2 linked regions of the Xenopus tropicalis genome follow. The protein of the gene in region 1 purifies or fractionates together with the protein of each later gene. This does not show direct contact. Links are inferred from orthologs where the notes say so. Each region holds a gene or a part of one and is shown on either strand. Other genes may lie near its edges.

Region 1 (3,928 bases):
CTGAGCACTAATGTATATGTCGTGCCTCTTGTGTTGAATTGTGTGCAAGCGACACTAGGGAACCCTGAATCCACATCTCTGGACTGACTGCTAGTGCATGTATCGTTTCCAAAGCATTTATAGGCCGCTGCGGTTCTCCCTCATAGCTCTGTTGCACTGTCTGTGCCTGTAGTGCTAGAATACCTCGCAGTGTGTACAGTGTCTTTGCATCTATGCCATGAGAAAAAAGGAGAACCTTCCCTCGGGTGGCATTTACCAGGGGGTGGCAGAAATGTACTTGTATAAGGTGGGGGTGGCAGCCAGGGGCACTGATGCCATGAGGTGAGTTGAGATATTTGCCTCAGGTGGCAGCGGCCCGCAACTTACCAGGGGTAGCAAAAACAGGCACAGGCAATGTATTTTTTCTCTACCTACAGGGCACTTGTAGTTTTGTAATATATTTTTTATCCCTGCCTGCACTTAGAGCGTGGTAACTGTCTGAAAACCATGACATGCCACATTTTCTTTTGCTTGTGGGAATCTGCAGCCTTAGGCAGCCACATACACACAATAAATAGTGACTGTCTATGGAATCTTAGGGTCCCCATACAAGGGCCAATTCTATCTGCCGATATCGGTCCCTTAGACCGACTCGGCAGCTTATCGGCCCGTGTAAGTGCACTAACGACAGGCCTGCCTGACTGATATCTGGCCTGAAATCAGACAGATATAGATCAGGCAGGTTTGAAAATTTAGTCGGATCGGGGACTGTTAGCTCGCTGATGTGGTCCCCGAACCAACTGCGACTGCGCCTATGCCTGTCGTTCTAATTTGATCTTTTGGCCCCAGGGCCAAATGACTGAATTAGCCCGATATCACCCACCCATAGGTGGGGATATAGGGAGAAGAGCCGCTCGTTTGGTGGCCTTGGTGGCTTGGTTTTTCGCATATACATAAAAAACAGATGGCATCAGCAGAGGTATCATTTGGGGCAGAAGTTTGTCTAAGGCAGGTCTGGACTGGGATTCAAAGCCCTGGCATCTCAATTACTGGCATTTGCCAGAATCCACAGGTTGCCATTTGGGGCCTAGACTGGTGGGTCCAGTCAGAATCAGCCATATAACTGAGCCATATTTGGTGTGTACAGCCGTGATGGGACGGTCCCCTTTAAGATTCCTAAAGAAATATGTTTTCACAACACAAACTTCCCGCCCTTACAGCAACCAGTGCGTCCCGCAGCAATTCCCATAACATCCTACTTATAATGCAGGCACACTAACTGGCCACTAGATGGGGCGCTGTATGAAGTGATGCGGGAGTAAAGGCCGGTCTCTATGGTAGGTATCGGTGCCGGGCGGCCATGCTGTATGTACAAGGGCATGAATACACTGTGAGACTGTGGCATTGCTTCTCTCCGGTAGGTTATCGCTGGGGTGTGTGGCCGGGTCTGTGATACACGGTGTAGGGATCCTAGTCTAGGGGAGGAACGGGTGTAGGGTGGGACAGAATGAGTATTTACCCTGGGTCCCAAGGTTTATAGGGGGCACAGCCATGAGTGATGTAAACTATGACTCCCAGGATCCTCCAAAAGCCTTAATTCAACTATAGTTCAGCAACACTTTTCTGCAAAATGGACACCCCTAATTTATTGTGAATATAGCTCCAGATGAGACTGGGGTTATACCGCCATACAGCTACATAGCCAGGGGTACAGGCCAAGCCATTCAGTGATTCCTCAGGGATGTGCCCTCTGGCCACTCAGCCCTGCCCTTGGCTCTGGCACAGGGAATCCCAGCTGCAAGTTATATGGCTGTGCCAACTCATGGCATTATAGGGGCACAATACACACACATTCAGCTTTGTCAGCACAAACAGGATACATTGAACTGACACTTGCATTCTTCCTATTTTATTACCTTAACAAAAAGTACAAATTCTATTTCTTTTTCATTATAATGAGTTACAAGATGATTGTTGGGTTGTTTTACTCCCTCCTCAATGTAATGGGATGAGTTACAAAGGAAAACTGCAATGTATACAGACCTGCTCCTATATATAATAGATTTCTCCCGTTGTCCCTGCCAGGTTGTGTGATTAATGTATGAACTGCTTTTATTCACAGGCCTCTGTGATCCCAACAGACTGCTATGGCTCTCTCAGCAGCACTCAGGCTTCAGTCTCTGCGCTCTCTGGCCCCTCACTGCAAGCTCTTTGCATCTGCTCTCCAATCACACACACAGTAAGTATGGCACAGTGGGGCTCATTCATACACACATGGCACATTTGCACCAGGGCAGTAACCCATAGCAACCAATCTGTCATTAGATTTTTCCAGCCAGCTGCAGGGAGAACACGAAACGCAAACTTCTGATTGGTGGTCATGGGATACTGCCCAGGTGCAAATTTGCTCAGTGTTTTTAAATGCCACAGTAAGTAACAAATGCATACAATGTGTTGCTGCAAAAAAATGCAGTTTAATGGTTCAGGTTGTGTCTTAAGGTGCCCATACACGTGAAGATTCACTCGCTTTGCTCTGATCTTCACCTGATATCCCCACCTACGGGTGGACGATATCGGGGAACATATAGGCTAATAATGGTGGCAATGGGGCAGTCGGTTCGACTGAATCTTTTAACCTGCCCGATCATTATCTGGCCAATTTCAGGCCAGGTATCGATCGGGTCGTTTCTGCTCCTACACGGGCTGATAAGCTGCCGAATCAGTCCAAAGGATCGATATCAGCAGCTACAATCAGCCCATGTATAGGGACCTATAGCAAAGAAGCACCATTTTGTTTCCCAGGGCTAGTGCAGTGCAAATGTGTGATATTTCAATATGGGTTACTAGACTGGGGCAGCGTTTGCTCATGTGACGCAGTTTTTTGTGCCTAATTCAAGATTCAAATAACTTTATTAATCCCAAAGGGAAATTGCTTATGCTCGGTTACAGATGCTCACAGTTATCTAATAAATAAATAAAAAACCTCCGTAAAACAGTAAGTATCAACTTTATAGGAATGATAATACATTATGGCTCAGATCAGGCCCAGACTGAGGTTCAAAATAGGCCCTGGCATTCCAAGTACACATAGGCCCAAACAGCCCGCCCCCAGCCCAATAAATAGTGAGTGTCTATGGCATCTTACAGCAGCCCCTCTGGCATTTGCCAGAACCCACAGATTGCCAGTCCGGGCCTTTCTGCTGTAGGAACAGGAGTCACTTGGAGACCACCAAAGCAGGATTTTGGGTTATATAGCAGATTCTCAGTGCTGCCCCAGGGAAAGCACTGAGTCTACAGTATATCACAAAGTATTATTTGATTGTAGGTGGGAAAGTATATGTCCCTAAGTGACCCAGCGGTAAATAATGATCACTTCTAGAAGTTTCTTATGATACAGTGCAGTATGATGGTGGGTGATATTCCATTCAAATGTATATATGGGCAACGTGCATTCCTCCAGATTGTTATACCAATTGCCCTTAATCTGGTGACTCTACTTTGCTTGCAGGCAGCCATGCCGGTCTCACCGCCTTGCTCCAACAGACGACGAACTCTATCAGAGAACCACTGTTACCCGCCTAGAGAGAGACTCTGCGGAGTTCATGTTTATTGAGACTTACAGCTCACAGGGGTTCATTATTAATGGGGACAAAGTAGTGGGCCCGTGTGCTGTCATTCCGAAGGCCATCCTGCAGTGGAACGTGAGTGGGAATTTGCTTCATCCCAGTGTGACCAGCTGTCCTCCCAAACTGCTTGCACTGTGCAAATGACTATCCAGTATGCATGCATTGTCCTGGAGGGATTATTTTGAGGTTACAGTATGTGTGAGCAGGTTGGGGGATTAAACTGGGAAGTAACATACCTTTAGACACACTCCCCCATATGTAATAAGAGGCACTAAGTTTTTCTTGGAGTAGTAACCCATAGCAACCAATAAGATGTTTGCTTT
Region 2 (3,928 bases), on another chromosome or scaffold:
TTTTTTTGTATGTAATATGTTTTTTCAATGTATACACCTAATTTTGTACATATTAATAATTACACCAATTAAATAGAAATTGAGTTGAATGTAATGCAATGCTTCTTCAATATGAACAGTAAAGCAACCCAAGTTCTGGCATGACACACCTCCTTCTGAAGCCCAGTAATACTGAACAATTGATACAACTATTAGGTCTACCTCCTTTCTCTGTTCCAGCGAAAAATGCTCCAGTATCCAAAAAGCATGACCCCAGCACCCAGAGCAAACATCGAGTACCCTGCAGAGAACCAAAAATGACAGTTATACTACAGGTCAGGAGTTTTCACAATAAGCATTTGTAATCCCCAACAACAGATATATATATATATATATATATATATATATATATATATAGTTTGACGTGTTTCCATCAATAAATTTTTTCTTTATTTCTACTAAGTCCTGTGAGTGCGGCATCTAATTTGGACTGTGCTATATTATATATATATATATATATATATATATATATATATACTATACTGAATAGAAACATGGTGACTGTTTCTATTTCATACATGAGGTTAATGCAATTATGACCAGATCTTATAAATCAGATCACTATCATCATTTTATAGCACACATATCTGTCTAATGCAAAATACTGACTCTAAAGCTGGCCATACACACACCGGTGATATCGTATGAAACCTCTTTTCGCAGGATATTCGGTGCATGTACGGCAGATCGACGAGATGACCGATATCGTCATCAGATATCGGTCATCTCATTGATCAGCCAGGTTAAAAGATTTTGATCTGGCGCCATTGAAGGTGGGCAAACAAAATCCACGTCAGGGCTGAATAGGAGGTACAGTTCCTATTGTTTCTACCTCCACATCTTATGATTCAGCCCTGAATGTCAGTGGGGGAAACGAACAATCTTCTCTGCGACCGATACTACGTGTATGGCCACCTTAAGGCTAAGCACTGCAAATCAGCTAAATTGTGCAAGCATGGTGGCATGCCATGGGAGGGCAACACAATTAGTACACAGAAAATAGGGGTTATTTACTATGAACAAGGACAGGAGTGAAAGAGCACGAAGGGCAAGGGCACACTGAGTGGATCACTCGCTCTAGTCAGCCTGCGTTTTGTATGCAGATCGACTGTCTTCAGTTTTTTAGATCCATTGACAGGTATAGCGTTGGCCTGTATGGGGCTACACTTAGCGGATATCAATGTGGAAATTCAAAATGTATGCATTCTTCCCTCCAAAATCCACTCAGTGTAGCTCCACACAGGCTGACACCATGCCTGTAATTGGGGCTACACGAAAGACCAGATGACAGCAGCTTCTCTCTGCCTATATGCAAAATGCAGAAAGAAAAAGATATGGATGATCCAGCCCTAAGAGGTGCAAGAACCTACCTGACTACCTCCTGAATACAGTAGGTGCTCTTAGCAATGTCACACGATTGTGCCTGTTTAGTGCACTTTACTCCCTGCTCATCATAATGGCCCCTTATGTTACTTATATAGGCTACCAAATAGCCAATAACAGCCTTAATTTGGCACCCCAGGAACTGTTTATGCTTGTGTTGCTCCCCAACTCTTGACATTTGAAAGTGTCTCACAGGTAAAAAGGTTGGGTACCCCTGTTATGTAACAAAAAGTGAAATGTTTGATACAGTTCTAGTCACCTTTGGCAAACAATTAACAGGCAATATTTACTGATCACCTGTTTAAAAGCAATCATCATGTTGGTTGCTATGAGATTCTGCACCTGGGAAAGGCTGTGCTTTTATTACATATGGGGGCAAAAGCCATAGGGCCCTTTGCATAGCACTGATTAAAGATAAAGTTGCAAACCTCAAAACTTTATGTATGGCACAGAACAGAAATACTCTTTCTAGGTGTTTAGCATGGAAATAAAAATGTCATCGGGGGAAGCTCAGGCATGTGGCCCTACAAGTACTGAAAGCTGTAGATCACCAACAGTTAGGTTAGACATCACCGAGTGCATACTAAAAACAAAATGTAACAAGTGTTACTAAAAAAATGTTACAATTGTTACGATAACAGATATAATACCCATTAAAGGCCCCCCTAAAATACTGGTAAACCAGGTGCAAATCCCTTCTCCGCCCTAAGCATTATGTTCATAGATTATACAATACAACTGTCAATGACATCCTGACAACACTAATGTTGCGATTGTTTTTATCAAGAGAATGTGGCCGGCAGTTAATCCTGCCCTGCCATTTTGATTCCTGCATTTCATGCTTCGCGTTCTCTCCGCAATCTCACCGCTCAGTCCTCGGCGGGGTAAATTCCTCTTGTAATCCACAGGACCATAGCCCCCAGGAGGTGGCAAGTCCTGCTTCACCTTGGACGCCGCCATCTTTAGTTAAGCCCCTGTCGAAGTCCTCTGACCACTAGTGATGACATAAATCCACATCCCCTTTGAGCTTAGGCGCCATCTTACTTAATGGCAAACAAGGGGTACTCTGAAATGCGACTTTATTGTGGTGGTAGAAAAGCATTTTCGTGACGTCATATTTTTTGCGGTAAATTGTAGTGTTAGTTGACACATTTGGATTAAATTTTCTTATTAAAGGAATACTGACTATGAAAATCCATAGGAATGTTCGGTGTTACTAAATGGTTGCAGCATGAAAAGCTTTATAATTAAAACTCCCCCACAGCCCACCCCCTAGGCCAGTGGTACCTGCTCCCCTTGAAGGGGGCCCAGAGCAGAAAGAACCTTGCTCTTTTCTTGTATCACACTAGGTGGGGGCATCAAATCCTTCCATAGGCTAATTACAAATGGAAACAGTACTTTGAAAGCCTATGGAAGGATTGTGCCACCCCCAACCCAGCATGATGGACAACAACTGCATAGTCTCCTTTCGCTGTGTTGAAGTATCAATTGGGTAAGTACTACTCAGCTTGGGGTGTCTTTTGGGGACTTTTCACTAGCTAGAATTTTAAATTGCAACTGTTAGTAGTAATACTGACAAATTTCTATGGATTTTTATAGGAACATGTCAGTGTCACTTTAAAAATAGGAACAGAATTGAGGTGCAGTACCAGAAAAAGTCAGTAGATGGCACATGGCAGCAGTTTTATACCTGTTTTTTTTATAAGTAGTGGCTTTCTTTACCGTAGAGGGATAAGCAGATATGATGCTTCAGAATCTCTGACCCATTGCATACCACCATGATTTTCTCTTACTCATGTAATGTGTTTGCCAGTACCCACTATAGCTTGTGCAGATGATATACTTTGAGCACTGGTTCCTTTCTTCCAGAACCCATTGCCAGTTCCATTATATCTTATAGCTTGCAGTGTCAGTGTATATTTTCTCTAATGGTATTAAATATTCATAGGGTTGTAGTATCCACTTCTCTACACTGATTTTACCTGGGGTGCCAGTATACACTGCCTCAGGCTGTATGCAGTGTAATTCCCACTGTCTTTTACTATATCTAAGATAAGTGGTATATATAATGTGAAGATATATAGCGTACCAGTGTCCCTTGTCTCAGATTGTATCTAAGGTGCTTGGTACCAACTTTTATTATGTACTGTACCTGGGAGGCAGTGCTCACTACGTTACATAATGTTATAATGTACTAGGGTGTCAGTGGTTACAGCCTCCCACTATGTATAATTTATATGGGATGTCAAAAAAACACTGTCTCTCACTACCTAATATACTTTGGTGTGCCAGGACCCACTGCCTATACCTGCAAAAAATTTGCCCACAGAATTTTTTTTTTTAAAAAACTGTGTGCTCACAAACTGTGAAGAATTAAAGCAAAATTTAGCATTTTTACAAAATGTTTGTGCACAGTACTAGCGGCGAGTCGATGCGGTCCCTGAACCGACTGCGCCTATTACTGGCGTTCTAATTCGATTGTTTGGCCCCAGGGCCAAACGACTGA

Evidence for each region.
Region 2: the proteins of ndufaf3 (region 1) and ndufa13 purify together in Homo sapiens (co-immunoprecipitation; 3 studies listed by BioGRID and IntAct, with this or other methods). This does not show direct contact. The link is inferred for Xenopus tropicalis from reciprocal best matches to the Homo sapiens genes NDUFAF3 and NDUFA13.

What each region holds. Positions count from the first base shown.
Region 1 is NC_030680.2:136,757,548-136,761,475, forward strand, and holds the start of ndufaf3 (NADH dehydrogenase [ubiquinone] 1 alpha subcomplex assembly factor 3), read left to right. Parts: upstream 1-1,348; 5' UTR 1,349-1,396; intron 1,397-2,101; 5' UTR 2,102-2,126; coding exon 2,127-2,218; intron 2,219-3,487; coding exon 3,488-3,680; intron 3,681-3,928. UniProt on the Homo sapiens protein: Essential factor for the assembly of mitochondrial NADH:ubiquinone oxidoreductase complex (complex I).
Region 2 is NC_030683.2:53,117,341-53,121,268, forward strand, and holds the start of ndufa13 (NADH dehydrogenase [ubiquinone] 1 alpha subcomplex subunit 13), read right to left. Parts: upstream 2,406-3,928; 5' UTR 2,383-2,405; coding exon 2,289-2,382; intron 281-2,288; coding exon 202-280; intron 1-201. UniProt on the Homo sapiens protein: Accessory subunit of the mitochondrial membrane respiratory chain NADH dehydrogenase (Complex I), that is believed not to be involved in catalysis. Complex I functions in the transfer of electrons from NADH to the respiratory chain.